Caenorhabditis elegans: one gene and its partners. The protein of the gene in region 4 interacts with the protein of the main gene of each other region in a pairwise test. Each region holds a gene or a part of one and is shown on either strand. Other genes may lie near its edges. The genes, in order: dsh-1, lin-36, abl-1 and mig-5.

Evidence for each region.
Region 1: the proteins of mig-5 (region 4) and dsh-1 interact in a two-hybrid assay, tested with the Caenorhabditis elegans proteins (3 studies listed by BioGRID).
Region 2: the proteins of mig-5 (region 4) and lin-36 interact in a two-hybrid assay, tested with the Caenorhabditis elegans proteins (3 studies listed by BioGRID).
Region 3: the proteins of mig-5 (region 4) and abl-1 interact in binary tests that used the Caenorhabditis elegans proteins (3 or more experiments, as listed by UniProt).

Annotation. Positions count from the first base shown.
Region 1 is NC_003280.10:5,213,474-5,222,873, forward strand, and holds dsh-1 (DiSHevelled related), read right to left. Parts: upstream 7,202-9,400; coding exon 5,683-7,201; intron 5,569-5,682; coding exon 5,493-5,568; intron 5,195-5,492; exon of another isoform or gene 4,991-5,194; intron 4,182-4,990; coding exon 4,060-4,181; intron 4,013-4,059; coding exon 3,772-4,012; intron 3,718-3,771; coding exon 3,542-3,717; intron 3,104-3,541; coding exon 2,867-3,103; intron 2,819-2,866; coding exon 2,651-2,818; intron 2,359-2,650; coding exon 2,192-2,358; coding exon of another isoform or gene 2,150-2,191; exon of another isoform or gene 1,647-2,149; intron 1,572-1,646; coding exon 1,459-1,571; intron 1,177-1,458; coding exon 1,050-1,176; downstream 1-1,049. Other genes in the region: C34F11.1 (RING-type domain-containing protein), read left to right, coding at 1-231, 280-424.
Region 2 is NC_003281.10:8,014,451-8,022,448, forward strand, and holds lin-36 (Protein lin-36), read right to left. Parts: upstream 6,424-7,998; 5' UTR 6,421-6,423; coding exon 6,322-6,420; intron 6,266-6,321; coding exon 6,167-6,265; intron 6,092-6,166; coding exon 5,508-6,091; intron 5,407-5,507; coding exon 5,286-5,406; intron 5,211-5,285; coding exon 4,672-5,210; intron 4,571-4,671; coding exon 4,162-4,570; intron 4,039-4,161; coding exon 3,634-4,038; intron 3,568-3,633; coding exon 3,110-3,567; intron 3,062-3,109; coding exon 2,995-3,061; intron 2,780-2,994; coding exon 2,672-2,779; 3' UTR 2,198-2,671; downstream 1-2,197. Other genes in the region: F44B9.5 (Lipid droplet-regulating VLDL assembly factor AUP1 homolog), read right to left, coding at 1-146, 196-351, 396-582, 924-1,193, 1,749-1,896, 1,964-2,087. UniProt on the Caenorhabditis elegans protein: Required to negatively regulate vulval development. Antagonizes Ras-mediated vulval induction. Acts cell autonomously.
Region 3 is NC_003284.9:10,620,006-10,626,428, forward strand, and holds the start of abl-1 (Tyrosine-protein kinase abl-1), read right to left. Parts: upstream 4,185-6,423; 5' UTR 4,142-4,184; coding exon 4,140-4,141; intron 4,030-4,139; coding exon 3,974-4,029; intron 2,703-3,973; exon of another isoform or gene 2,578-2,702; intron 1-2,577. UniProt on the Caenorhabditis elegans protein: Functions downstream of migratory protein mig-13 and is involved in Q neuroblast migration during larval development.
Region 4 is NC_003280.10:8,180,809-8,187,487, reverse strand, and holds mig-5 (Segment polarity protein dishevelled homolog mig-5), read left to right. Parts: upstream 1-2,464; 5' UTR 2,465-2,479; coding exon 2,480-2,518; intron 2,519-2,584; coding exon 2,585-2,733; intron 2,734-2,787; coding exon 2,788-2,941; intron 2,942-2,982; coding exon 2,983-3,058; intron 3,059-3,110; coding exon 3,111-3,588; intron 3,589-3,630; coding exon 3,631-3,753; intron 3,754-3,799; coding exon 3,800-4,125; intron 4,126-4,173; coding exon 4,174-4,698; intron 4,699-4,848; coding exon of another isoform or gene 4,849-4,861; coding exon 4,862-5,010; 3' UTR 5,011-5,165; downstream 5,166-6,679. Other genes in the region: cct-1 (T-complex protein 1 subunit alpha), read right to left, coding at 102-288, 447-1,103, 1,149-1,454, 1,499-1,922, 1,967-2,042; dylt-3 (DYnein Light chain (Tctex type)), read right to left, coding at 5,179-5,618, 5,664-5,670. UniProt on the Caenorhabditis elegans protein: Plays a role in the signal transduction pathways mediated by multiple Wnt genes. Functions redundantly with other dishevelled family members throughout development.

The DNA of each region.
Region 1 (9,400 bases), 3.0 Mb from region 4:
ACAAGGCGGTTCCTCACATATTCGTATCTGGCCGGTGTCACGGAGTGCTACAACAACTTCGACGGCAACTCGTCATCCACCATTCACCAATACTTCGGCATCAACTTCATTTGCACCATATCAACGTCACCGAGGAAGTGCTCTACAAACTTCGGAATGCACCATTTGCTTTGAGAAGCCCGTTGATCCGAGAGGATGTCCTAAATGCCTCAAAGTCATTGGCTGTAAAAAGTGAGTTAATATGAGATATTGAAGATGTTATAATTAGGCAGTTTCCAGATGTGTGAAAAAATGGTTTGATACGTCTGCATCGAAGGCGTGCCCACTATGTCGATTTGAATGGAAACTGCACAGAGACAACCCAGATGTTGTCAAAATTTCAACTCTTGAAGTTCTGAAAAGGCAGAAGCAAAACCGTCCATAGACTTATGTCATGAATACAATAAATTATTGTTACTGAAGTTTTTTTTTAATTGTACAGGATTATAATTTTACGCGTAGCCTTCCATGGGGTTTAGTAAGACTTGTCGCAAATACGGACAGAATGAACCTCTCCTATTCTCGACTAACTTCTGTTTAGAATATAAAAGGACTATATCACCGGCTTATGGCACTCGACTCACTCCACCGAGCGGCGACACGTCTTAAGGAACCACCCTGCAAGCAACTCCAACATGGCCAAACGTCTACAACAACAAAGGAAACCCTTTCACACAGGAACTCTAGGATCAAAAGGATGCAATTGAACTGCCAATAACACCGTGGAACAACCTTTGCTACCTTTACGTGAAAAGTCATATCCGATGTCTATATAAGGAGGAAATTGTGGAAGAAACATCAGTTTTGAATTTACTCAAGTGAACTCCATTTGCTAATGATAATATATAAATAAAGTATTGTTAATAAATGAAGTTTATAAATAAGCATTCCACTGAACCGCCTTCGCGACAAGAATTAAGAAGGCGGCGGATAAGCAAAAATCTTGAATAAATAACAGTTTTTATACAGCTCAAAAAGTAAGCACCAAAACATTGAATTAATATTAACAGTTAATACTCGTATCTTTGTCCAGTTGCCATAAGAAATGAATTATTTGATTCTTCATAGATTGTAGAACTATCATCAAATGGAACATTTGCAGACGATGATGGTTTTCTGGGAAGAACAACAACTCGTCTGAAATATTTTAAAATTATATTGGGAGTTATTTCGAAAAACTATGTCAAAAATGTTAGAGTCTACCGTGTTATATAAAATTGGAACTTTTGAAGTCAGAGAAATTCAGACGAAAGTTTTTAAATTTCCAGTGCCTCACACTTTTCACTTTTTTCCAACTTAAGAAACAAGTTCTTTTGGTGTGGTTTTGAATTTTATTTTTTTCTTGAAAATGTTTAAAAAAGCTATATATCTTTACAAAATACAAAAATTTCTTTGTATGTTTATAGTGGAAAAACTCACTGTTTTCTAATTCCACCGCCACTACTTCCACTGGTTGTACTTCCTTCTCTTCTCTGTTGCTGCAATTGAGCTGGTGGGAATGGTGAAGCCGGCATTGATGCATATCCACTTACCTGTTTATATATTTTTCAAATAATATATTTCTCACTTTGCAATGTTCGTGTGGTGTGAAATATAACAACATTCTTTTGATTCAGAATATTATTTATTATTCTGTCATTCTTGTGGGTGGCAACATTGGACTGATACATTTACATGCTACTGAGAAATGAGGGGGCGAGAAAATAACAATGATATCGAATATAAACAATAATTTTAGGGCAAATGCAATAGAAAACAAGACGTTTTTTTTCTTAGTATAGGGTGCATCTATTTCAGACAAGGATGTGGGGAACTCGTGAAGAAGATCGCAATTCGTGTGAATTTGAGAAGGAAATGCAACAAAAAATCGACGGACAGATTCAAAAATAGAATAATCAAATAAAGGAAAAACATCCAAAATTACAATCACCGGGAACATATGAAATTTTGATTCATGATTGGAGACTTAGAAGTTACAAAATATTAAATTAGAACTTATTGTAATACCGGGTACATGGTGTACTGTGAGAGAAACTATTTTGAATTATGCCATTTTGGCATTGATTACCAGACATAATGAAACATAAACATGAAGAAAAATGATGACATTCTAAATGTGCATTACATACATGCGCGATTCGCCGTCGCTTACCATTGACGGAGCCATCCCTTTAAAAGCTCCAGGAGGGCCAGCCATACCTCCAGGTAAATGTGGGGGTGGGAGCATCACAGAGCTTCCGTTGCCAGCAGACATTCCGTTCATTCCGATGGTCCATTGGTATTTGGGTCCACCATCTTCATTTCGGAATCGGGCATAGTCTGGAAGTAATTTAGAAGATATAACAAGAAGGGTTGAATTTCATGTTTTGAATCAGGCAGGGCAGCCTTGAATGCAACCAACTTTTTTGCATTCCTATGGAGATTACAGGCAGACATTTTTGTGCATCAGTGAAAAATTTGTTTTAAAAATATAATTTGAAAAAAATAATTTTTTAAAACAAATTTTTAACATTTCAGTTCAAAAAAATTGCATTAAAGATTTCAAAAGACCCACTTCCATCTTCATATACAAAAACTTTGACATTTTCCGAATAAATGTATACTTTCCTACCTGAACACTCATCTCCAAGGACATAATAGCACTGCTCAGTGAATGTGACCTTGTTCACCACATGTGCAATATACTTTAATTTCAGTAAATCCGCCGCAAAGTTTCGTGCTGTCTTCCGTTCTCGAAGCCCTTCAACATGATCCAAAAGCCATTCGACCAGATCAGATCCTAAAATTGAGAATTAGAATAGGCTCTACACGTTCATTCAAAACTTACCCAAGAACGACATGGGAATCGGAATTTTGAGCCATGTTCGATTTTTGATATCAAGACCAGAGCCAGGCATAGCCATTATTTCGACAACCTTCTTTTTGTCAGTGTGTATATCAAGAATAATATGAGCTCCGCCGCCGACTACTGTATTTTGACCATTTGATCCGTTTGAGGTCACCGTTGAGCTGCTTGGCGGTCGACCATGAGGCCATTCACCAGGAATTGGTGTCGGTGCACTTTCTGGAAAAAATTTTTTAATTAATAGATATTTGTAGGAGAATAACGTAGAAGAAGAACAAAAAACAACATCGAGGCTGTCTTCCTGCCTGCCTACCTGTTTTCAAAATTTTGGTGCAGAAAAAAGGTTTGACTTAATTTTACATTCAGCCTTCAAAATTAGAGATGTGAAAAATTTCATATTTTTATTTTTGTTTCAAAAAAAAATTGAAAATTCCAAAAAGCTTTCCAAATGTTGTTCTACTTTAAAATATCCTAAAACATCAGAAGTCTGAAAAACATCAACTTGAAAGTAGCGAAGAAATGCACTGAATAAATTTCAGCCTGAAGTTGAATAGGTTGAGAGTGCAGCTTATAATTTTGCAAAAAATAAAAAGATCAATCAAATAACAGGCAGGTATTTTGTTTAGTTTTTCTACACTTCCAATCAAAAAACCATACCTTCAACTATACTTGGCATTCCTCTCATTGCATTCGTATGCTGGATCCATGCTTGAGTATCGATTGGTCTCACAGGCTCTTCTCTGCTATTCCTTGGTATTGTGAAACAACTTTGCCCATTTTCAAAACTTTTCGCCACAGTTAATTTGATGGGGCCACGACGGCTAACAGCTTCTCTGAAAATTCATATGTTGAAGAATAAGCTCTCAGTAAAAAATAATAATTTTTACCGTAACACATCAACAGCTTGATCGTTAGTGAAATTCTCAAAGCTGGTCTCATTGACTTGTAAAATCATATCACCAGCTTCAATTCTTCCATCCAATGCCACTGCACCTCCCTTCATGATATTTGCTACGTAGATTCCATTATCACCACAATTAGAAGTTTGACCAACAATTGAAATGCCAAGGAAATTGACTGTATCCATATTGAGGTTCACTGTTATTACATCAAGGCTCATAGAGGACTCTGGAATTCGAATGGTAAAAGTTATGCTAATTTCGAAGAGGTCATACCTGTGATACTTGAAAACGAAGATGCTCTAGAGGGTTTTCGGAAATTTCTTTTATTCTTCTTTTTCTTTGCCATTTTTTCATGTTGTCGGGATACTGATGTGAAATCGGTTGTTGTAGAGCCTCTGAAAAATTGAACGTTTTATAGTTGAAATTGTTATAGATTTTTCAGAATTTTCAGTCCAACTTTTGAAAATTGAGTCTTATTGAGAAACTTAAAGAAGCTTTGCATATTCGATGCCCCACAAAATAAATACAAATGATTTTAAAATTTAAAAAAAAACTGTAGAAATTTTTTAAAATCGAATTATTAATTTATGATAAGCGAAAACTGGTTAATTTCCATTTTGGACTGTAAATAAAAATTTCATAATTTTTTGAAAATCTTACTGTGGTTTTCAGTGATTTTTGCAACTCGTGAGTAACTTTGAACGTTATCAACTAAAATTTTACATGGTTTTCACTAGCTAAAAAAGGAAAACTAATGAGAATTGTGTTCCGTGAAATTCTAAATATAAGCGGAGCACTGCACAAAACAAAATGTTCAAATTCCTTAAAGTTACAACCTAGAAGTTTGTTCCACAAAATCCGAAAAGAACTGAAAGATTTATCGAAAGCAATTATCCACTTCTCATCCATCTCTTTCCACCCGTTCTCACGTCCTTTTCTTCCCCTCCCCAATTTTTATTAGTTTCCTTCAAATAGTGCACAACACTAAGAGCTTGTTGTGATAGTCACTACCAGGCTTTAGCTAGAAGATAAGCGCCAAGCAGGAATTGCTCAAATTTAACGAGCTGTGTCTTATCGCAGAATAAATGAACTGACACGTCGCGAGTTGTGGCACCCGTGCTGCTCGGCGGAGCTGTTCCAATTGCATAGTAATAATCAGAAGTTGAAGTGGAAGTTGTTGAATAATAGGCTTTACCATCAGAGCTTGCGAAATCATCGTCAGTTATGTAGCCGCTCATTTCACTATTTGAGGAGCGGAAGGGCGAAATCATTGGGGGCAGAGTGAGCGGGGATGAAGGCCCGCTTTAAGCCTAGTCATTTGTCACTTTATGTGACAGACAGAGAAGACACAAAAAAAGGTATTAACTATTTGAGAGGCAAAATGAAAACCATCGAATTTTTGAAAATATTTAAAATTTAAAATTTCAAAGGGGTATTGCCTATTCGTAAACTTGGTTTTGTTTTTATGAGTTGTTATATTTTGAATGTAAATTTTTTTCAATGTTGCATATTCCTTGAGATAGCCCTGCAAGACCTGAATGTAGCCCTATTATAACTTAAACTTTTGCTTTAATTTTTTATAAATAAAAATTTGCCGAATAAAATACACTAAATTTTGAAAGGAACACTGTCACCAGAGTACTGGCTTTACATAAAAATTCAATGAAATGAAACCTATGTTTATAAAATTAAAAAAAAAAACATACCTATCATCATCATCTGAAAATACTCTTGCATCGGATTCGGAGCCAATTGTTGATTCTTCGAGATGTCGTCGGTGCCCTGGAATTTAAGAAAACTTAGAATTCGATGCTTTTTCAAATTTTCATAAGATTTTGTTTTTTGAACCTATTACCCTTTACTTGATCACATCATTTTTCGCCATCATTTACCTACCGATCAAATAAAACGATGCATCTGCACTAAGTTCAGAGGTTAAGGATAGATGTGACGTCCTATGTAGAAATCCAATAAGATGTCTTCTCGGCGAAGCATCCGGTGCAACATCTTTCCTTCCTTGATAAGTACTTGTTGTATTTGATCCGCCGTACCTTCGCATTCTGCGCTTCTGTGCTCGATCCGCTCTCTCCTCTTCCACCATTGCCGCTGTACTTGCTGTTTCTTCCTCATAAAGTGGCGGAAGCGATGGACTAGTTGGAATCAGTGACATTGTACGGCTCATTGTGCTTCTTCGTGAAACAAGAGGTCGGCAATCAGATGATAGACCACTTCCATCTACAGTGACCGGCCGACACCTATCGATTCGGTTCAAACTTCGACTTTCAGATATAGTAATACTAGGAATAATAGGTGGACGATCGGTGGTTATTTGACACGTTTTGGATTTTCTGAGCTCCCTAGATGGCGGAGCAAGTGAAACAGGGGAATCAGGAGCCGCAAGGGAAAAAGTTGGTCTGGCTAATGCTGCAGCTGGTGCAATGAGATCCGGTGGTGGTGGCTGAGGTGGGCTCAGATTCTCTTTGAATTCTTTAGTATTAGATCGAGAACTTGATGGTGATGGAGATGCAGACCGAGATTTTGAACCACCAAGTGAAGTTAAAGACGTTAAACTTGCAGCCGAGTGGGACAATCTGATAAGAGCTCCAAAAAACGATGAAGAGGCGGAACCACCACCGGACTCTTTTCCGTTGGCGCCTCCTGCACTTTTTTCGCTTTGTTTCCGTCGTTGTAAAAATCTGCGCTTCGTTGTCGTCTTAGTATTATCCCCCTCTTCGTCGTTACAATCATCTGATGCTTTGCTGGTGCCGGGAAACAGGAGAGCCCCCTCGCTGAGCCGTTTTTTAAGTGGACCACCGAGCGCATTTGAGACCATCTGTCGCCATGTGGATCCGGCAGGTGTATGATTATTTGTGAGATCAGTTAAAGTCCGTTTTAATCGAAATGGTGCCTCAGACTCCGGCTCCACACGACTTTTACTTCTGCTCTTCTTCAACTTTTTCCCCGTACTTGGTTGCTGCTGGCTTCCTGAATTTTCCTTATCATCAGAAGCTTTGGAGGAAGGGAGAATGTTGTTCAGAATTTTCAAATTTCCTAATGGATTTCCTGTATATTTCTTCCTTCTTGGACTTTTTACAACTTCCGAGACGATAGTTTTCTCATCATCAACCAAATCAAGATCATCAATCTTAGCAAGTGGTGGAGCCTTTTTCTTCTTTTTTGGTCTTGACGATGTATTTGTAGGTGACGTTTTCAACTCAATCTTGTTAATCAATTGTGATACAACTCCCGGCGAGTGTTGTCGATTTGGTGGAGGAGCCGTGTATGTCGAACGGACTTTTCGTTCTTTTGAAGTGAATAATAATGAGCGAATCATATCAGATGAAGTGGATGGGGTATTTGAGGAGCCAGAAGGAGATGGAAGGGCTCTATCTCGAGCTCCAAGCTTGATACTCATTGCTCGCTAGTGAGCTATGAGCAATCGTGTCGTTCTCTAGAAAATCGGTTTTAAGTTTTTGATAGTAATAGAGCTGGGAAGTAATAAAAAAGCTTGAAGGTAATAAAAAGAAGAGAAAGAAACGAGAAACACACCTCGATGGGGGGTCATAAATTTCCCAGCATCCCATCTTGTGGCTCATGATGCACTTGGATTAGAAACAGATACTTTCGTTTTACTTTTATCATGTGCTGGGAATTTAGAGAGAAACTGAGAATTTAATAGTCGACACATCGGGAAAGTTGGTACTCAAAATAATCCTGTTGACACCATAAACACTGTCGTTAAACTTTAATCGGACTTGACATATGTCATGTTAAATCTCAATTGACTCGACTATGATAGTGACATCTAAAATTGATAAATTCCTATATAATGAGAAATGCAAAGATTGAGATATTATAATTTTAATATAATATAATTGGTCTATGAGTTTGTTAAGATTCAAGCCATAACAGTAGAAAAATTTAAAAAAAACTCAAGTTTTTATACGCTTAAATCTCGATGTTATTTTGAAAGACAAATGTTTGCTTTCATTTAACTTTTATTTAATTAATCGTTAACATTCACTGATACATCTAATAAAATTAAAATTATAGTTCAATACGTTTCGGTCGAAACTATGTGGCTATCAATTAATAAGATTTTCCCCGTTTCGCAAAAGAGCTTCAGAATAAGTGTTACCATTTCTCAACTAACAAATTTCTTCAACTGGTGGGCTGGAAAATGGCACATGACAACTAAAACCAAGAGCTCACTATCAGTTATTTATATCAACAAATTGCAACTTGACTTATGGCTCACAGTCAAACACCGCAGAGATCCAGAGGAAAACACAATTTGCTATGGTCAGATTAAATGGCAGTTGCTTAAAGAATATTGATCGAAAATTTTTCATCATGACTAGTTGAACAAAGAGTTGCAAATTGATCTCACTGAAACATGTTGCAATGGCTCTTGATGATGACGAAGTATAAAATCAAATGTTTGAATCCACCTACACACATGGGCTAGCAAACATTGATCGGAGGCAGGAAAAGCGGATAAAGCATAGAAAAGATCATTATCAAACTGTCTTTTCTCCCCAAAATCCCGATAGGTATCATGATAGAAATCACAAGTGAGGGATATCCGAAAGTAAATAAAACCACAGATCTCACTATTATAAGGCAGATATCTATTTTCGTGTTAACGAGAATGAGAGCAATATTATGAGATCCTGGGGTGGGTACTAGAGACTATTTCGACACAAAAACGATAATAGTGACAAGTAGAAACATACACAGAAATCGACAAGTGAGCGGACAAAAAAAACTAACTAAAAGTGGGGTGAAGTGGTATGAGGTCTCGAGAAGAGTGTTCAAGTGGAGAGAGAGACAGAAGGAAAGCATCTTGATAAACACTGTGATAAACTCATCGGTCTTCGGGTTTTCATTCCCACTGACGTCGAGCACAGAGATATAGAGAACGGTTTCTCACAAAAAGTGGTGGAGCAAGCAAGGAGCCCGGTTGACCCCCTAACAGAGAAGTTCAAGGACTAATGTTACAAAAGATCGAGAATTGGATGTCAAAGAACATATTTTTCCAATTAACAATGCTTACAAATTCTACCGTACACTACAGTTCTTAAGGTCGCAAAGAGATATTTTTGGTATCTGGTTAATAATTTTTTATTCTCTAATGTCGAAGCTAAACTAAACTAGCTGTGACTTGTTCGCAATTTACCATTTTCAGATGTCATTGTCAGATATTTCAGAACAAAAATTTTTGAAATAAAACAGCTGGGTAGCCTTTCAATGCAACTAGATATCCTGAAAATAATAATCTATTTGTTTCAAAAGTAACAAAATACTTTTTTTTTAATTTTCAACAAAAGAGAGTTTGGATGAATTTCTAATTTGGAGGAAAATTAAAACAGATTATAAAATACGAATTTTATAGAATTTGAGAATATGCTCCTCAGATTAAATTTTCAGAAAAACACAATGAACTAAAATACTTTGAAAAGAAGTTGTACACAAAAGGGAGAATTTCAATTGATTTATACACCCAGCTACCAGGTAATAACCACAATTATGTGATTTTAATTCCACGTAATCACACTGGGGAAATCATCGATATGTATGTGTGTGTGTGTGATTAAATTGAAATGAAATGAAA
Region 2 (7,998 bases), on a different chromosome or scaffold from region 4:
GCTTTCAAATTATTAACAGTTGTAGTTTGACTACGAGTTTTCTCCAAATCACGTCGAATTGCAGATAAATGGAATGATGGAAATGATTGTTTGATTCTCATTGCACATTCGTCCATTTGACGAGGATCCGCAAGTCTAGGTGAAGTCTTGAAAATTTTCATTTTTTAAAGAAAACAAATTATTGGAAACAAATACCTTCTCTCTAACGACAACTTTTTTCGCACGTTCTCTATCTGTTCTAAGCCGTTTTGCTGCTTCTGTTGCGTCCGAAATTCCAAACTTTGACACTGCAATCTTCAAATTTCCAGCCAACGTTTCGGCAACTCGGGCGGTGAATTCTTCGAGTGATTCCTAGAAATAATTGTTTTTATTTGGAAATTCCAATTTTTCTTTACATTCTCTCGTCTTTCCATTTTCGGAAGATATTCGACAGTGATAACAGTAAACGGAAGTGCAAAGAAATAGAAAAGATCAGTCCACCATGAAGAACCCAATACTGAAACTGAAACTTTCCAAGGATACGGACGCCACACACGCACTGAGACGGGTTGAACTACTGAAGACACCTCGAAACACCAAGTACTGAAAATTTAGTAGATTTGGGTTCGAGATTCATGATTTTTGCGCCAAAACTACGGTACCCGGTCTTGACATGACAATTCTTTATCCGACAAAAAGTGTGCGCCTTTAAAGAGTACTGTAATTTAAAATCCTAATTTATGCTGAATTTTCATCGATTTTGCATAGTTTTTCATTAAAAATGTGAATTTTATATTTTATGAAAAAAACTATGAAAAATTGATGAAAATGCGTAAAAAGATTTTTAGATTTTTTTTCACAAATTTGTAGTGACAAACCATATTTTTAGCTGAAAAATCTTGAAATCGAAATCACAAAATATTTGGAAAGTTCAAATGACATACTTAAACTTGATCAATGCCTTTTCTCCACTAGTAATAATTCCTTCTGGAAATGCGAGAAGTGGCATTTGTTCTCTGGTGAGTAGTTGTTTGGCTCTACTGACAAGTTGATCTCTTCCACGTGTTGCTCCCAAATCTACATATCCAAAACACCATCTAATAATCGATGGAATATCCCAAACAGATGGAAGAAGGCATGGAGTAAGAATATCAACTGCTAAATGATCAAGAATTGATACATGATTGGCGCACAAAACTCGAGCTGATTCATCTCTGAAAATCTTTTTTTTTTAATACTAAGAAGTTGTGAATATCTCGGCAAGCAAAAAACATTTTAAGGAATAGTTAGTGACCTTTTTTTTTTAATTTTTTTTAGATACACTAAAAATTACCGAATTTCATTTTGCAAAAAAAGTACAGCACCCGGGTCTTGAAAAACTTTTTTTTTGTAAAATATAAATGGATATATGGAACTTTTGTTGCTGCGGAATTTTTGAAATCAATTTTTCAAAGTTTTTTCGTTAAAATAAATTTTTAAAACTAAAATAACACTTAAAACACATTGATTTTAACAAAAATCGTAAGAAAAACTATGAAAAATCAATGAATCCACAGTAACGAAATTTTAAAGCTACCGTACTCTTTAAAGGCGCACATGTTTTTGTATTTAACAAAAAAATTGTCATTTCGAGACCAGGTACCTCACTTTTGGGACAGAAGTCGCAAAAAAATTTGCGCCTGGGCAATACGGCAAGCTTCCAATTTTTCAGTAACTTGTTTCTATTTTTTTGGAGATATCAAATATTTTTCAAAAAAAAAATCACAAACCTGTGACCAGATTTTTCAACGACAATTCCGAGAATTGAGCACATAATTCGAAGAGTGTGCATTCTCAAAGCAGCAGATTTTCTGAGTAGACATGCAACAATAAATGTGTGGAAACCGAGGAAAACACGAATTAAAAGAATAATTAAACCTGAAATTTTGATTTTTTAAAACTTTTACTTTTTGGAATGTGTCAAAAAATTTGAAAAAAATCTCACCAACTGGAGCATAAATAATCGAAAATATTTTAGCAATCGTATCTTCATTTCGTTTTTGATGGAATAAATCTTCGATACGAAGATCTTCTGTATTTCCAGAAGACGATGCTTCTGGTGATGCCATTCTAAATTTTAGGATTTTTTTAAATTTTTCATGGTTTTTTCAAAATATAATGTTATGGATAATCAGGTAGCCTATAGAAAAAATAATCTGAAAACTCTTTTCAAAAACCTACCAAGCAAAATCATTTATTTATTGACTTTTAGTCATATTTGGCACACAAACGCACATATCTTTCAAACTTGAATGTAATTGAAAACTAGGGAAACGTTTAAATAGACTTTGGCTCATTTTTTGTGAATAATTCAGATTAATTTATGATAGAAAAAGTGTGGTTTTTGGGGAGGGGGCGGGGGCTTATGGAAAGTAAAACAAACTATTAATTTTGGAAAGTAAATTATAGGGGGGAGGGGGGGTAAAAAATGGGAAAAAAGTAAATGTGAAAATCCTAAAAATCTAGACGAAAATCTATCCTAGTCGGAGTTTTTATCAGATTTCAAGAATTTCGAATGAAAGTAAAATGGGATAACTTCTGTGGATATAAAACAGAGATAGTTCACATGAAAGAAATGTGGGGCGATCCTCGAAAGGACAATTGACTTTTGAATCTTGAATTTTGAGGCACTTTCTTTGATAATTAAAAATAATTATTGTTGAGAATCCGATGATCCTTGTCCTGGAAATTGTTCTTGCTGCTGTTGTTGTTGTTGTTGTTGTTGTTGAAGTTCACGCCATTTTGGATCTTTTTTGGTGAGCTGAAAATCATAAGAATGAAACAAACTGATTGATAACGCCAAATAGCGGAGAAAACATGTTTTTAAAATAAATTGTGTTGTGATCAGTGATTTTTGATGTTTCAATCGGAATTTTTTCAAAGCAAATGGTTTCAAATTGAGAACAACATAAATAAAATCTTTTAAAAAACGAAAATTGTTACTAAAATTCAGAATTGAAACTAATAAAAACATACCACTTGTGCTCCATCGTTAGAGTAGAAAATTTGATAATCTTCAGTCCTTTCGCCAAACAGACGAGCTCTGCAAAAAATTAAACGATTTATCAAAGTAGACCTCCCATGGGCTCACCTGGCTCTCGCAGCTTCAATTTGCCGGATGCAATGACGGGAAAGTCTCATGTCAGCGCGCATTTTCGTCACGGTGCGACATTTGATAGCGTCTTCCATTGCTCTGTAGTAATGAGCATCTTTCATCATTTCTTTTGAGATTTCTTCCATATCTTGATCTTTAACTGTTCCACTTGAACCATCCATCTCAAGAGCCTCTGCCAGCGTAAGCATCGGTTGCCTCTCGGAAGATGTTGAAGAAGTGGCAACATCTTCAGACGATGAGTTTCCCATAGAATCAATGACTTCTTCGACCATTTCAACTTCCATATCCGTTGCTGGAATCAGATACTCATCAGAAACAACCACCGGAGAAGATGCTGAGAAGTTTGGCGATGACTCGTGATGGGAGAGTGTTGGTCGTGGAGTTGATGTTTTTTTTCGTGGTGAAAGGATCAGTGGTCTTCGGGAGAGCACACTCTGAAGCAATAAATTAGAAAAAATATCAAAGTCTCCTAATAAATAATTCTAATATATTAAACTTACCGGTCTCTTAGCAGGCCCTTTTTCTTGTGCAACAGCTCCCATAACTCTTTGAGAAAAGATCCCGCCAGGAGAGGATGAAGTTGGTGGTCTTGATATGACTCCAGAAGATAATGAACGTCCTCCACCAAGTGATGCAGTAGCTGTGAACGATTCTAATGGAATCTGATATTTAGCCATCGAAGGACGAACTCCAGCAACAAAAGATCTCGCGAGCATTGATTTTAGAGGGCGTTCTTCCGGCTCTTTTTCTACTGGTGCCGGTTTTGCGACAGGAGTTGCTGGTTTTTCAACTTTTTGAACAGCACTCTCCTTAGTTTTCGATCGTGTATTTCTGGCGATAAATTTTTGACTTGTTGTCGGTTCTGGTGTCTGCTCCGAAGATGTCACTTTGTCTTCTGGCTCCGTCTGAATAAAAAACATTATCCTAGTAATTCGAATTTCAACATGCTACAAAGTAAAAGAGGAATTTCAAAAGTTACAAATTAAGTTCTAATCTATTATTTAATAAATTCAGTAAATAAAACTCACCGAAGAAGTAGCAGCGATCCCTTTGGCCAAATTATAAGCCAAGGCCTTTCTCGGCTTCTTCGTTGCTGCTTCTTGTTTCTTGAATTGTTTGGCATTGATCAATCGCTTAACTTGCTGAGATCTTTTCTGAACCATTTTGGCAAATTGTTCATCTCGTTCCTTCAAACGAAGACGTTCACGTGGATCATTTGGTGAAACTGTTGGTTCTCTCTCTACACTTTCAGGAGTTGGATCGTGTTCTTCTTCGTGTGAAATTTTCCGTTTCTTAGCTGGAGTTGATGGAGCTGTAGCAGGAACTTCGTGTTTTGCCACCTTCTTGATTGGTGAATTTGTAGCGGAAGTTGCGAGACGTGTTGCTTTACGTCGTTCACCAGATCCCATTGGAGCTTGTGGAGACTGATGGGAAGTTCTAAAAAATTTAATTGCTTCTTTGATTTCCATTTAGTAAGATTTTTTAAATTTCGTTACGCAGGATGTTCTCTAACTCGAACATTTTTTGACAAAACTTACAGTTCAGAAACATCGTCTGACTCTTCTTCTGCATGTTTTTTCTGACTGCTCTCTTGCTCCTTCGTTCCTTGAGCCGATTCTTCTGCTTTTGTATTAATCTCTGCTTCTCTTCTCAATTGCAGAAACACTTGTCGCTGCATTACGTTCAGATCATTCACACTTGTACCACCTTCTTTTCCAACAAACGATAATGTCCTCACTGCCTTCTTTCTCTTCTCTTCATCGTGAACCATTTTCGTACGCTCTTCTGGATTTTGCACGTAGGCTTTTTTCGTTGGTGAAGGTGTGAGTACGATTTCATTTGCTGGTGGTTCACAGCCGTGATATGCCACATAAACGTTGCGACGAGTCCAGTTATCCCAGCTTTCCGCTGGATCCAACTCAGTAGCGCGGCAGTTCATTTTAGCGAATTCATATATTCTACGAAGATGACAATGATGAATGGGGCCAGCATTCAAGTGACGACGATATCCAGATATTGTCTTGTAACCATATGTGCATTTTCTACAGAATGGGCACATGAAGCCAGCTTCTGGGACCTGTGAAAAATATTAATTTTTGTTATAAGAATTATGTGATAAAATAAGAGTATTAACTAAAAAGCTTGAACTTACATCCAAAACATTATCTTTTTTCTTGAGCATTTCCTCCGTGTGATTGAGAAGATGTGTCTGAAGCTCGACAACACTGCACGAGTGGAACTCACATACGGTACAGACCCATGGCACTCTGGAACTTTTATAAAATCGTGAAAGAGGATGTTTTAGCCAAAAATCGAGCTAACATATTCATTCACAAGCTTTTTCGTTTCGAGCAGAACCAGCTTTTCTTCTTACCTTTTTTTACTCGGTGTCGTCTTAACGTCTGGTGAAATAGCAACAGGAACTCCAAAAGCTTCGATGGCAGATTTGTTGAAATTGTGATTCCTGAAGCACTCCTCGGCGAAGTGCTCAGTACAAATTGGACCGGCAGCAATTGAAAACGATACAGGACCCATTTTACTGCGAAGAATATCTTTGTATTTGAATCCAAGCAAATTTGCCCAAATTCTGCGCCTATCCAAGTCTGCTGGGAAGTTTAGATGCATCTCTCCCGATTTCATTACTCGATTACAAACTGTACATGGCTTATGAGTCAAATTGGAGTATGGAGAAAACTTCTTGAAATGATCAACAACATATATTCTCAGTCTCCCATTTGACATCCGGTACACTTCTAAATGCTCTCCATCTGGCGGAGTTCGTGTCATTCGGCTTAAAGTCTCCGGAATAACTTGGCACGGAAAACTGGAGTAGACACTTTCGCCTTTGCCGTGGATAATTTCTTCTCTTGGTTGTGACGACGAAGCTTGTTTAGTTGGAGTGACTTGGCTTTCATCAAGAACTTCACCACTTGATGTGACAGTTGGCATTACGGGAATCTGAAAATAAAATGATGTATTCTATTCCGGCCAATGGGCACATGCATTAATACGAGAATGAAAATGTAAACGTACATCGTGTTCGTCCTCATCTTCTCCTATTACGTCAACATCACCCTCAGTTTCCTGCAATGCGTCTACAGTTGAGGATTCTTCACCAGAATGCTGTGAATCCTAAAAATGCATTGATATTCATAAGCGGCGAGAATGTTTCTCAATTATCACCATACCTGTTCAACTGAGTGCACCGTCACGTGTGAGTCTTCTGGTTCTTCAATATCATTATAATCCCTTTTACTGGGTCTAGTACTCAGCAATTCTTCCGACATTTCCTGCAATCAAATATTTTTGGAAAAGCCTTTCTTTTGCAAATTCTACACATTTTGAGCACAAAAACAGAAAATACAGTGAATTTAATTGTTTAAAACGCTCAAGAGATACAAATAATAACGAAAAACATTGATAATAAGTGAAAAATGAGTCGAAAGTGTAAAAATCGATAATTGTCCGGCCAATTTTTGTACAATTCTGGCTCCCACTCATCTGATGTACGCAAACACCGCCACGCGCGGTTGCGTACTTTTTCTATGACGTCTCTCCGTTTGCTACGCTCTCTCGCCGAACAAGCGACTTGGAACTGGAGGGACGTTGAATTGATGATATCAATATGGAGACAGGTCATTTGTATAAATGATTGACACCAATTTATCCAAAATACCACGGAGATAACACCAGGAGTTTGAGAAGTACATATTCGTTAACAATAAGTGATTTAAAGCAGGGGAATTAATTAATTACAACGGGAACATCATAAGCTTGGAACATTTCGTTGCCAAATTAAATCGAACGGAAGACAGTTTTCTCTAGGTTCAGGTATAGTAGAAGCTTGAGCAAACATATGCGTATAGTAAGTGATGTTTACTCAGGTACTCATATTCTATTAGATACCGTACCCCGAAAACTAGAAATAGGATTTCTAGTTTTCGGGGTACGGTATCTAATAGAATGTCTTCCAGAAACGATTATAACAGACACGTAATCTGGGTGGAATGCTGAAAAATAATTCTGATTTTTATTTAGAAAAATTATTTCAGAAGATGCATCTTCCTCTTAAGATGCTCTCAATTTTTCTTCCGTACACAATTAAAAATCATAATCTGGTGACAGCTCATACAGAAGCGCAATTCTTGCCCTGGCTTGTGAAGTGATTACATTTTTCGAAAATTATAATGTATTATTCGTCTGAATACAATACTTAGCACGAGCAAAAGATTTCAAAGATGACAAGTCATTAGACATCTCTTCATAAAAGCGATTACGGTATAACTTCTTATTGGGAGTCGACTTAAACCCCCAAAGACAAGAAACACATTAAAAAACAAATAGTGAAAAATTCTTAAACTCAATAACAAACAATCAGACTACCGTACTCACACAAATGAAAGTTTTCTGCCATCTGTACTTTTAATATCCGGCCTCTCTAGGGAAGCATTTGTAAAAAAATTGTTTCATGGTTTAATCAAGTTACAATAAATTGTAGCTCGCGTAAATGTTCATGCATGAATCTTAAATTTCCAGGTGTCAATTTTCCAAAAACCTATCTTCACTTCTCAAGTCTAAAATCTCTCGGATCCCTTCCTTCTCCTCCCCCGATTTCACTGATCAAGTCCGTGTGCAACTCTGCGTATCTTCATCTTACACACTATTCAGTGTTTAATGCTCACTCAGGCGGGCTCAAAACAGTGTAAAAATGGCCTCTAAACCCTCTTCCGTCGTTCTGCCAATTTCTCTATTGCCAACAAAACAACCAACATGCCATCCATATCACTACTACTACAAGAGTTTTTTTTGAATAAAACCAATCTCGCATACTTTTTCTACTTTATGAAGCATCAAAACTCAGTACA
Region 3 (6,423 bases), on a different chromosome or scaffold from region 4:
ATTTTCACAAAATCTAATTGTAAACTCAGCCGATCAAATTACATTGGGCACAGAAGCAGGACATAGAGGAAGACGGGAAAAGAAGGAGCATCCTGTCTAATCTAAAGAAACAGAGTTCCCTTTTCTTTTCTAACCAAAAAAACAACAACAATACTACAGACATTGACACCGGCTATGTAGTAAGATGAAATCGGAGGGAAATGAAAGAAGAAAAAAGGGAAGCAACCGAAGAAGAAAAAAAAAGAAGAATGAGAGTCAGCATTACTTGACCCAAGTACTTTCTATAAGTAGCTTATTATACAGCACTGAGTATGTAAAAAAAGAAAAACGAGAAGGGAGGTAGGTTATGACTGAATATTTTTGACAGGAATATTATAAATGCTTTAGGTACGTAAGTTTTAAAAACTAGAATCAACTGAATATACCTTTTTTTACAGCATAATTTTTTTTCATTCATCGCCGAAAAAAACTTTTAGCCATTAGAGTAGCAACTAAGCTTTGAGGATAGGTGTTAACTGGAATAAAATTTCCTATTTTTCAAATTAGAATTTTCAACCTTCAAAACTTAATTTTGTATTCAGTAAAACTTCATGTGTTACCTGTCCCCTCAAAACTCAAAAACTTGATTGTATTGAAATATGCAGCTACAGGGTGGGCCATAATTATGCGCACTCGTATTTTTCTTTTTTTTTCATTTGTTTTGGAGGTTTTTCACTATTTGAAACAGTAATTTGATTTGTGATTAATTATTTCGAAGAGTTAAAATGTGATTTTAATGTGTTATCAAATATGGATATATTGTAAGTAACCAGTAGGATTCTTCGGATGATTTTTCAAAAATACATATTTGATATATACCGTATTTCTTCTATTAATATGGCCTCCCTATTAGACTTGCACTCCCTATTAGTATTGCTCCTTGAACACCCTCCGAAAATTAGTATTGCACTCCCTATTAGTGTTGCACTCCCTAATAGTATTGCGTCTACTTTTTTTTTGGTACAGACCCACCTCACTAATTTTGAGATTTTAACAACATTTTTTGCCTACTTTGCAACAATTTGTGGTAAAATTTTTATGAAATTGAAGTTATTGTACCTTTTTGTTGCAATTACAATCAAATTTTCACTTTCACACAAGGTTCGAGTTTTTTCAGAAAAAAAATCAGAAAGCTCAAAGTCAGAAAAATTTTCTGAAAATTAATATTGCACTCCCTAATAGTCTTGCACTCCCTATTAGTATTGCAAGCGGGAAGACCATCGAACAATAGTATTGCAGTCATATTAATAGAAGAAATACGGTATACAATTTTCAAAACTTCGAAACGAGGTTTATATTAGGTCTCCAAATAAGTTCCGGGTCAAAAATCATAACTTTGTTCGCTGTGTATCGATTTTTATGAAACTTTGGGAATTTATGTTATCAACCATGTTCTTTCATTTGACAATAGTCGCAAAAATTTTTGTACACCTCAAGTGTCCTAACTCGGAGCCAATTTTTCCAGGAATTTTTCCTATCTCGCTTCTTTTAACCTTTGAATTGAGGTTTGTGTGCGGATTTTGCTTTGCTTAAAATACATTATTAGAAAACGACAAAAGTTTAGAAAAAAATCCGTCCAAAAAATTTTTTTTAAATATATAATAATCGTTTTAGTTTGAAATTTGAATCTCGAGAAATATTCAAAAAACTCAAAAATTATCCGAAAAAATTATATTTTCTATTAACATTTTGGTGTATCGAAATAAATTGATATGTTTTGTATGTGTAAAAATAGTTCACGCTTGTTTACATCATTTTTGTAGGGAAAATCTAGAACTTTCGACAAAATTTTTTTTGAACATTTTTTGACGACCAACCAAAAAAAAATTTTTTGGACGGATTTTTTTCTAAAATTTTGTCGTTTTCTAATAATGTATTTTAAGCAAGGCGAAATCCGCACACAAACCTCAATTCAAAGGTCTTCTTTTAGAAGCGAGATAGGAAAAATGCCTGAAAAAATTGGCTCCGAGTTAGGACACTTGGGGTGGACAAAAAATTTTGTGACTGATGTCAAATGAAAGATCATTGTTGATAACATGAATTCCCAAAGTTTCATAAAAATCGATACACAGAGAACAAAGTTATGATTTTTGACCCGGAACTTATTTGGAGACCTAATAGATTTTTCACTTAAAAAATACATGTAAGAACTGTGATTTGATAAGCAAACACATACACAAATCCGGAACCGGAAGATTTTAAAATTAGTATTCTCTTTTCTATTTCATAAAACTTTTATAGTTTTGTGTTTAATCACGTTATGAAAAAGATCAATGATCTGAACTTCGTCAAATCTGATTTAGGATATATTTTGGTTGTTCAGCTCGGTTTGTCTGATGTAAATTATTTTTGAAAATTCTACTGAAACACCTAACTGATTTTATTTTTTCAGATAACAAAAAAAGCAGAGACAATGCCGTTTCTTCGAGAGTAACACAAAATTAGCAAAACTATTCAATATTGTCACATGCCGTGTCAATGTCTAGGGAATTGTAAAAATGGGTGTGGACTTGCGAACGTTTATATTCATTGTATACGCGTCGCACCAAATCCATCATAAAAATTGGATAGAAAGAATGAAGAACAGGAGGTTGGGTGTCCCCCGTGGTTCTCAGTCCCACACAGAAAGGAAAATGTGCCAGAGCACATTTTCTAATTGGTCAACGAGAAGAAGGGCGATTCGTCGTACTACTAACACAAGTCCAGCTGCTTCTCTGACCCAGGGAGAAAAAAGATGGGGGGAAATGGTAAATCTAGTTAAAACTGGAGTGAAGTGAATAAAATGCGAATAGTCAATAGGGGTCGAGCATTTATAACTGCGAATATGGCATTGAAACCTATTGAATTGGAATAACAAGTTGGAGAAGCGACGTTTTGCCGGGAGGCGGCAAAGCGGGAAAGGGGAGAGGAACTGGATTTATTCCATTTTTTTCTATTCTTCCAAACTTCCTTTCCCAAATAAATTATGCCTAAACCTTTTAAAAGTGTATAATTTTATAAATATTGTAGTTTGTAAAAAATTATGATCTAATTATTCTAGATGAGTAGAGAAGATACACTTGATTGGATAGTCTCCCATATTTGGATCACGCATGCGTTGTCCTCAAACTAGGGACCGGGAGTTGACGGACGAGGGAAGGGAGATGTGACCTCTTGGTTTGTCTGCGTCCCGTCTTCCACTCATGCTCTCTTTCAATCCACCATACCAGCTATTACTATCTCTACTCTCGTTTTCTTCCGCGTCTCGTTTACTTGTGACTTTAGAAGAGGATCTCTCACCCTCCCCACACCCTCTCCGGCATATATCTACAGCGAACGGGAATACGAAGGGAACCGAACACTTGGAGGATTAGAGAACCTAACCGCATAAAGCATTAAGAGCGGTTCTGAATCTGTCATCTACACTCGAAGGGCCTTATTGTGGGCAGACAATTTCGAATGAGATTGTGACAATTCATCGAAAAGTAGAAGGAACGTTAAAAACAATACATAAAACTTAACATACTGTTTTTCATGTTTTAACATGAACTTTTTTTTTTTGAGAAACTGAGAAATTACAAAATATTAGTTTTATAATACTTTACGTATAATTTATTTTACAATTTCGCCTTATTTTCTTTCAAAACTGAGAGCAGCTTCCTTTTTTTGAAAAATAGAAAAACAAAAGCTGATACTTCAGAAACAATCGTAAACTTTATCAGTACTTTTTTAATGAGTTTCAAACAATAATCATTTTTTTAGGAAAACTTTTGAATCAACAAATATTCATTAGTTTCGTCAAGTTAATATTTTTCAAGGCTGAATTTTTCCAAATGGTATGAAATTATACCATTCAATTTTTTTTTTGAAATCCAATGCCAAACTCAAATGTTGAAATTATATTTGTTTTTAGTTGAAAAGTAATTTTCACAATTTTCAAGCGCAAAATGCTTACCACATGTGAAGAGTTCATTGTCATTGATTTCTTTCCCAGTACTATGTGAATGACCCCTGAAAAACATTTTCTTCTTTATTAGTATATGTTGTTCGTAAAATTAAAATAAACAAAATACCATGGCCTTATAGTTTTTGAGAAGAATTATGAAATGAACTGAACTCACATTTTTGTTAAGTCCTACATGGGAGAATGTTTTGATGTTTTCAAAGTTAGAAAAGCCTGAAAATTATGAAGTTTGGCTTGAATTAAAAAAAAGAAATAAAAAGAAAAAATCGAAGAAGACAAAAAAAAAAGAACATGGAGGAAAAAAGAAAGGACGCGCAATTGGTGTGAAGGTATGTGTCGAGTACCCGGCTGCCCTCTCTTTTCTCATAACCCATCCAGTGACCAGCAGAGCGCGCTTGCATACTTCTCACTCGTTGTTCACTGCTTATTACTGCGCACTTGGTTCAACACTAACGCCTATTCGCTAGTCAAACAATAACAACAGTTCCTGTCAGATAAATAGTACTAAGCTAGAGGAGATTGGAAACGCGGAGTAGAGACTACAAATACTTTGAACTGATTGAACTTATATGCATACGAAATGAATGGATAATGTTTAAACTGGATATAATTAGTTTTTAGTTGTTTTACAAAATTGTGGTGATTTAATAATTAAAAAAAAGTTATGCTATTCGGATATTTGTGTATTCGCAAAAACCATAGTTTTAAACCAATTAACAAATTGTCAATTACAAATCTAAAATCTAACAATTATTGACAAGACCATACATATTAATAAACAAAAAAGTTTTGCATTGTAAAACCAATCAAAACTTGTCGCCGTTCCTTTTTCGCTATGTTTTATACAAATCTGCGATACGAATTCGTATCGGTTGAAAGTGTGGGGATGAAGTGTGAAATGAAACAAAAAGTGTGATCACAAAGAATGGGACGAGAGGCCAGGAGGTACTCAAAACCCCCGCCAATTTTGTCCCATAAAAATTGGAGCGACGAAAGAGTATGGGAATGCAGTTTGAAATAGAAAAGTTGAACAATAGGTAGTATTCAGATTGACGCATTTTTTAAATGGAAATCAAAACTAAAAGAATCAAAATTTTGAAGAAACAGTACGGTATGCCTCTGAGGGTTGGTTGAGTGAATTCTAACTCATTAGAAAATTGCTGTCCTACTATTTTGAAAACAATAAAAGGGCTCCTTAGACTAAAATATGCTGAAAAGTACCTATCAAGTTTTAAATAAGTTTAAAAATTTTTGGAGATTTGCATTGTTTCACGGACTATATAATTGTACATGAAGCACTAATTTTAAATTGTGTGTTTAAGAATAATTTGTTAATTGAGAACAAATTCCATACTTGAAACACTCAATAAGAACGCACTCTAATGCATACAATAATTCTTTAAAAAAACTCCCAAGTTTTAATAATTGCTGACGAAGATGTTTTGGAAAACGTGATCTCCAAGTAATGAATGCTTGGCAATTACAAATAACTTTTTGAAATCAAAAGATTATATGTGGTTGTATTTCTCCATAAAAAAGTGGAATTGTGTGTAGGGTTTTCAAAAGATGAAAATAGGTTTGTTGTTATAACATGCATATGTAATATGACTATGAAACTGTGCTATTTTGCTAGTGTTAGTGATTTTGATGGTGACAAAGTGTTCTATTTTCGATAATTTTTTTTATTTTTCGTCTTTTCTCCTCGTTTAATTGTTGGAAATTACACATTTACATATTAAGTCTACTAAAATTCTTTCACATTTACATATTAAGTCTACTAAAATTTCTCCCATCCTATTTTTATTTAAACCAGTCGTTAAAAAAAATAGCTAAAATAAATCCAAATACGAAAAAAAGTTGAAAGTAAACTTTTGTAGAGTTTTTTGCGTGTCGAAGAACTTTGAAAATAGTAAAGTTTTGTGAAATGCGCAGAACAAAAACTGAAACTAAATGGGAACACACAAAAACACAAGAGAAGACGAACATCGACAAAAAAGTTGGTAGTAGCTGCTGGTTGGCGAGGAGAGGATAATATCCCGAACACGCCAATAGAATGAAGAGGGACAAAAAAGAACACAACAAGATGTCGATGCAAAGGACGAATTATTCCTTTTTTCCTTCCATTTTTGCCATTGCGTTCATTCGAAACAACTTCTGGAAAGGAGATTCCTAACAAAGTCAGGATTGAAAAGAACGACGTAGTACATATCTAGTGAATTTATTGGTTTTTTAAAATTGCATACACATATACCTTAATTTTTTTTATTATAAAACCCAAAAACGTCGCCTCTCATTTAAATTCTGTTTTCCAGTTACAATGTTTTTTTTAATTGAAAAAGAGTGAAATTACCGATATTTTAATTTTTGAAAACTTTTTGAAAGTTTTTATTTAAAATTAATTTTTGAGACGCACATCTGTGTGTTATTTTTTCTATTTTTGT
Region 4 (6,679 bases):
CAAAAGCTGAACATGAGAATTTGGGATAAGGAGCAGCAGATCGGAATTATGTGAGAAGCACGCGGAAAACAGGGATATATAAACGGGGTAAACGGGAAAATTTAAGCGTGGCAATCATCTCCTCCAAGTGGCTCTTGCTTGTCAAGTTTGATGAGGTCATCAATACGCAATATCGTAATGGCTGCCTCAGTGGCGAACTTCAGAGACTTGACCTTACTAAGAGCTGGCTCCAAAATTCCAGCCTCCTTGTTATCGCGGATCGTGCCTTCTTCGAGATCCAAACCAGCCCTAAAAAAAGAGTGAATAAACTGACTCAAATTCAGAAAACATGAATTAGACGCTTTTTCTAAGCACAAAACGAAATTTTTTGAAATAAATTATTTTAATTTTATTACATTAAGCTAACATGTAATAACCTACTCTTTAAAAAAAACATTTTCACTTACCACTTGAGGTGTTGAAGTTGTGGGATCAATTGAGCTTTGGAGTGGTACGCGCGGAGTTTTGTCACTAAATCAGTAGAATCTCTTGCAGCATTGCTTGCCAAAACCTTCGGAATGATGAGAAGCGCTGAAGCGAATTCAGCAACAGCAAGCTGCTCGCGAGAAGACAAGGTTTGTGCATAAGTTTCAAGGAAAAGACTGAGAGAAGTCTCAACAGCACCTCCTCCAGCCACAAGTTTCTTGCTTTCCAGAACTCTACGAACAACACAGAGTGAGTCGTGAACCGATCTCTCCATTTCATCGAGCATCACATCGTTCGCTCCACGGAGGATAATGCTGCTGGCAGTACGAGATTTCGGTCCCTTGATGAGAATGAGCTCGTCGTCACTAATTCTTTCTTGAACAATTTCATCGGCATGTCCAAGAAGCGAGGCATCGAAAGCTTCATCTCCTTCCAAAGTAGCCAAGGAAACAGTCAATGTGGCTCCAGTAGCTTTGGCAATTCTCTTCAAGTCTGATTTCTTGCATCGACGAACAGCCATAGCTCCAGATTCGACAAATTGCTTCAAGCACAAATCATCGATACCTCCAGTTGTAAGAACAACGTTGGCTCCGGCTTTCAAAATTTTATCAATGCGGCGTTTGGTAATATCGAATTCTCTGAAAATTCCATAGCTTAAAAAGAAACGAATAGTTTCAACTCACTCTCTGCGAATAGCCTCAAGCTTGGCTGGATCTTCAACAACGACTGAAATACCGAGGTGCATCTTAGCCTTCATCAAAGAGAAATCGAGACATGCGATCTTGGCATTTTGAACACGAAGTGGCATGGCCTGACTGGCAACTGTGCAATTGAGTGCATATCCTTTCACCAAAACTGATTCGCGAGCGCTCTTTCCGTGGGCCTTCAGAACATTGACTGCATTGATAGGATAAGTGACTTTCCCGTTATTTTCCACACGAACAGCTTCCGCGGCATCAACAACCAGCTCTCCGAAGAAATCGGCGTCTCTGAAAAATCAATTTTCTTGAAGCATAGACAACACCAAACTCACGGTCCGATAATCTTACTGCTCATGGAAGTTTTGGCAGCGTTGACAACTGATTGTCTACCAATCGAGTCGGAAGTGAATGAGATGTTTTCACTAATGTACTTGACGGCTTCCTTGCACGCGAGACGGTAACCATTGATAATAGTCGTCGGATGAACTTTTTGTTTCACAAGCTCATCGGCTCTCTTCAAGAGCTCAGCCGCCACAATAACGACAGAAGTAGTTCCATCTCCGACCTCCTCGTCTTGCAGCTGTGCAAGTTCTACAAGCACTTTTCCAGCCGGATGCTCAACCTCGAGTTGTTTCAGAATTGTGGCTCCGTCATTTGTGACAATGACATCTCCAACATCATCGACAAGCATTTTATCAAGTCCGACAGGGCCAAGAGATGACTTCACAATATTGGCGATCGCAACTGCCGCGGTGACTGCAATTAATTAATGTATACTTATATTGAGCTTTCGGTGTTACCATTCTGAGATCTGATGCCTTGTCCAGTAGTTCTTTTACCGGTGAGGGCAAGAATGGAATCTCCAGCTGATGCCATTACCTGAAACACAACCGTATTAACTTAGCAATAGAGTAGGACATTCGATATTGAGTCAAAAAGGGGCTTTGAATAAGCACTCAAAAATAAAAATATACGTAAAAATGAAAATATTTCAGTAAAAATAAAAATGCTTCCAGAAAATCGGGGATCCCTTGAATTCTGAATCAAAATTAAAATTCTTGTAGAATATTCTCAGAGCGCATCGTACTTCATGCATGCTAGAAGGGTAATCGTGCCGAGACCCAACACCAGCTGTCACTAGGGCGTATTTGCAACATTGTTCCCACCCGCGATTTATTGCCGATAAATTAAAAATAAAATTGTTTCCGCTAGTCCTTTGCAAACAAATTTGTTTTTTTTGTTTCCTCTTGTAATTTTTATAAATATTTTATTGGTCTATAATTTAAAATATTGAATTCAGATTTCTAACATTTATGGAGCCGCCATGCACATCAGACTGCAGCCAGATAAAAGTAAGAATTTTGATCAGAATTGTTTTTTATTAAGCCAGTGATTAAACAGAAATAATTTTCTTCCAGGTCTTCTACTATCTCGACGATGAAACGACTCCCTATGTTTCTGTTATTGAAGCCAGAGAAGGAGTAGCGACGCTTGGAAATTTCAAAAATTCATTCACCAAGCGTGGATATAAGTATTATGCGAAGGAACTTGACCCGGATATTCAACGGTGAGTTTTGGCTTTTTTAATTTTTGTAATTATTCTGTACTGAAAAATGTTCAGAGAAGTTAAAGTCGAATTAACAACTGATTCGGATCGGCTGCGCAAATCCCAGAATGGATTTTATGAGATTTTTCTCGTTAGCACTCCAGGATATGGAACTCTTCCTCGAAACAGTGGAACAATGACGCGACCACAGAGAACTGCTCTAGATAAGGTTCGATTTCTGTTATTTTCAAAAAAAACTGATATTTTAAGCGCCGCCGACGAAGTGCAGACTTTGACGCGACTCCGTACTCTGATGCTAGTCTTGCTCCGAGCACCATTGTTAGCAGTGAGTTTTTGCTATTTATGTACTCTTAAAAACCTGTATGAACGTTTTTCAGGAAGAGCAGGAGAGCATCTGGCAGAATTATACACTTCAAATTCAGAGGATCCGTATCAATATGACGAGCATACACGTCGAACAGGAGATGATTCTTCGCTCTACGAACCTCTCGCTGCTCGTGATATGAATAAGATATACGATGACGATAGAAGAAGGAAAAAACAAAAGAAAGAAAGATTCAGAAGACCGTATGTTCCAAGTACTATTAGCTCAGCGACGGAATCAAGTGTTAACAGCGGCCTCCCTCGAATTCTGGAAATTTATCTACCAATGAAAAATGTTCCATATCTGGGACTGAGCGTGTGCACAATTGATGGTCATATATTCGTTTCCGAAATTGCACCAGAAGGTGCCGTTGAAAAAGATGGACGTGTGAACGTTGGTGATCAGATTCTTCAAGTTAATAGAGTATCCTTTGAAGAACTCAGTGGGCCTCAAGCAGTTCGTTCGCTCAGAGAAGCTGCATCCTCCAAAAGGTATTTTTCTACGCATTAGCATTAATTTTTTTTAATTTTTAGACCAATTACTCTTTATATCAGTAAGTTTGCAAGAGGTGCCCCAAGTGAATATGATGATCCACTCGCGTCCATGGCGTCTGAAACGATGCCCCTCGACGTTGGAGTTTGGGTAGAAACCGCTGTGTAAGGGTACCTCGCAAGATTTATTTTCTTAATTTGATACTTACAGGCAGAACACTGAAAAAATGAAAGCTCTGGGTTTGGATCCACAGGAGCAAACGGCAACTACAATTGATGACGGAACTCTTCCATTTACATCGACAGCTTCTGATGATGAGGAGCGAATGCTTTACGATCAACGTAGAAATGGAATTCCAAGAGCTTTGATTGAAGAAGCAGAAAGAAAACGAGAAAATGAGCAAAATGAAAAAATAGAGCAACTCACAGAAATGATTGATCCCATTATTGTTGTTCGTTCTATGGCTCGTCCGGATTCAGGATTAGCTGTCAAAAATCGAAAATGGCTGAAAATTTTGGTTCCAATGTCTTTTATTGGTGAGTACTGAACATTCAAGTATTAGGATCCAAACAATCAACGTTTAGGCCGAGATCTAGTCGATTGGCTCGTTGATCACATGGCTGATATTCATAATCGGAAGAAAGCTAGAATCTATGCTGCGAGATTGTTAGCTGCTGGTCTTATCAGACATGTCGTCAGCAAGTTGACATTCACAGAAAAGTGCTACTATGTATTCGGTGATGGAATTCTTGGCAATGATCGTAATTCCACGGACACCACTGGTACGAGTGGAACTACAATGCGAGTTGAAGCAACTACTGAAGTGACGTATGTTGGCTCACCAGCACCACATGCTCTGGCAGCACGAGTTGGAAGAAATATTCCTCATCGATTAGAAACCACTACTCTAAGCCCAGTTGCTCATGACCAAACATGGCTTCGAAGACGTCGAGATTGTGAGAGTCCTATGACAAATGATTACGCATCGATGGTCGGAGAAAGCCAAATTGGAATGAATCCAGTCGGAAATTATCATGTTTTTGGGACGAAAAATAATCACCGTCAGGTACCGGCACCTTCTCAAGTGACATCCTCAAGCTTGACAAACGGTGAGAAAATTAATCGTTTCTATAGGGTGCAGGAGTTAAATTTGAAGCAAATATTCATTTCAATTGATATAGTATTTGCTGTTTCTTGACTACTGTACCCTTTGTATCCAAATGACTTTTCACATAACAGTATTTCCCCAACCAAATTAGTTACAAATTCCAGGAAGTGGTGGCTTAGGAGGCCCTCCGCCGACTCCTCTATCCAGTACTATGGTTCTAGCAGCTTCTCCGATTCAGTCGCAGAACGCAGTCAACCACGATTTCGACGGGGAGAACAGTAGCAACAGCAGAACGCGTATTTTACGGACTTAAAATTTAAAACTCATTGCCTTTACCGATTCTCGCCTTAATTCCCACATGCTTTATTAATATTTAAAACTATGCCCTGTTTTCATGTATTTCAGTAAGACTAACGTTTTCATTCATTCATGTAATTTTGAGTCTATTTATGAATTATTTTAAATTTCTTCATGACGATGTTCACTTCGAAAAACGATGTGTGATGAAGAAGACTTGGACAGCACCGAAGATAGTTTTAGACATCCATTCCGAGTAGTATGCAGTATCCTTCGTAGTATCCCAGGAGCACATGTTGGCCGTGCAAATTGCAAGATTATCGGTTTTTGCAGAAATAGTACAATGAACCAAAAACTTTTTGCTTCCATTGAGCTTCACTAAATTATCCGAAATTGTTTGGATCATCTTGCTCATCCAATCAGACATTTTGAATGGAGAATATGGAGTTTTACCAATTATTGAATCAAATGATTTTTGAATAATTAAATCAATTTCTTGTTCTTCGGCATTTGAATAGACTTTCTTTTTGAGTTTCTTATTTTTCTTTTCAATCAATTGTCTCAAAAGCTGAGCGTTTTTTGATTCAATTTGCCGCTTTGCTACAGAAGAAGTTGTAGAAGTGTCTAAAATTTCAAATGATGTTGCATAATGTGACAAAGAAAACTAACCTGTCATTTTGAAACAAGGAATGAATGAAATAATTAAAGTTATGCGATAAACATTTGTTTTCTAAATTTGATATATATATTAGAATCTGGTATAAATTTTTTTAACAGTGCGTGTAATTAGAACACGCTCTGAAGGCGAAGTGTTTAGTGCCAATTCAAAATATTACTTACAATTAGACCCGAAAATTTTGCGCTTTTTGTGCCAAAAACACGGTACCTGGTCTCGACACGAAACATTGTTTTTAAATGCAAAAAGGTGTGGGCACAGCATCTCCGACCGGGAGCGAAAAAATTAATTTTATTATAAAATGTGTTGTTAAGTTTTTGTTTTGTTTCCGCGGCTCTGTACCAGATTTTACACTAAAAGTGCACCAGTTTGGAGCACCGGACACACAGAAATTGTGTAATGTTGATGGCGTTCCGTATCCGAAATTGACATGTTTGCAGGGGTCGGTTGAGCTAACAAAGGTGGGTGGTGGAAGACGGAAATACGGTTCGAAGGAATAGTGGGGGGAAAGCTGACTGATTAGCTTGCCATCAGTGATTTACGGAAAATGTTCTGCTTCCTACTATGATTTCCTCATAATTTGAAATTTCATTAACTCTTAAATGTTTACTTAAATGTGATGCGAATTACTCAGAAAATGCACAGTTTTGGAAATGTAGCAAGTGACCAAAACATTTACTGAAAAAAACCTTCACCTTTGAAGTTCCTCTAATATCCAAAAAGTCATCATCAGTCCAATAGACAAAAAGTATTTCCGGTCCGTCATGGCAAGTTTGCCTTTCTCATCACAAACACTTTCTCTCATCCTTTAATTGTTTGTAGATGAGCCGGTCATTAACACTTATCCCTCTTATATCTATCATTCAATAAATCTTTTTGTAATATGCGCACCTCAATAATGTCTACAGACTCTTGATCAAGGTTTGTGGAACGTTTCTTTCTGTTTCCATTCAAACTATTTAATTAGATTTCCTGTAAATTCTGGAATGGAAAAATTTAACTTCATATT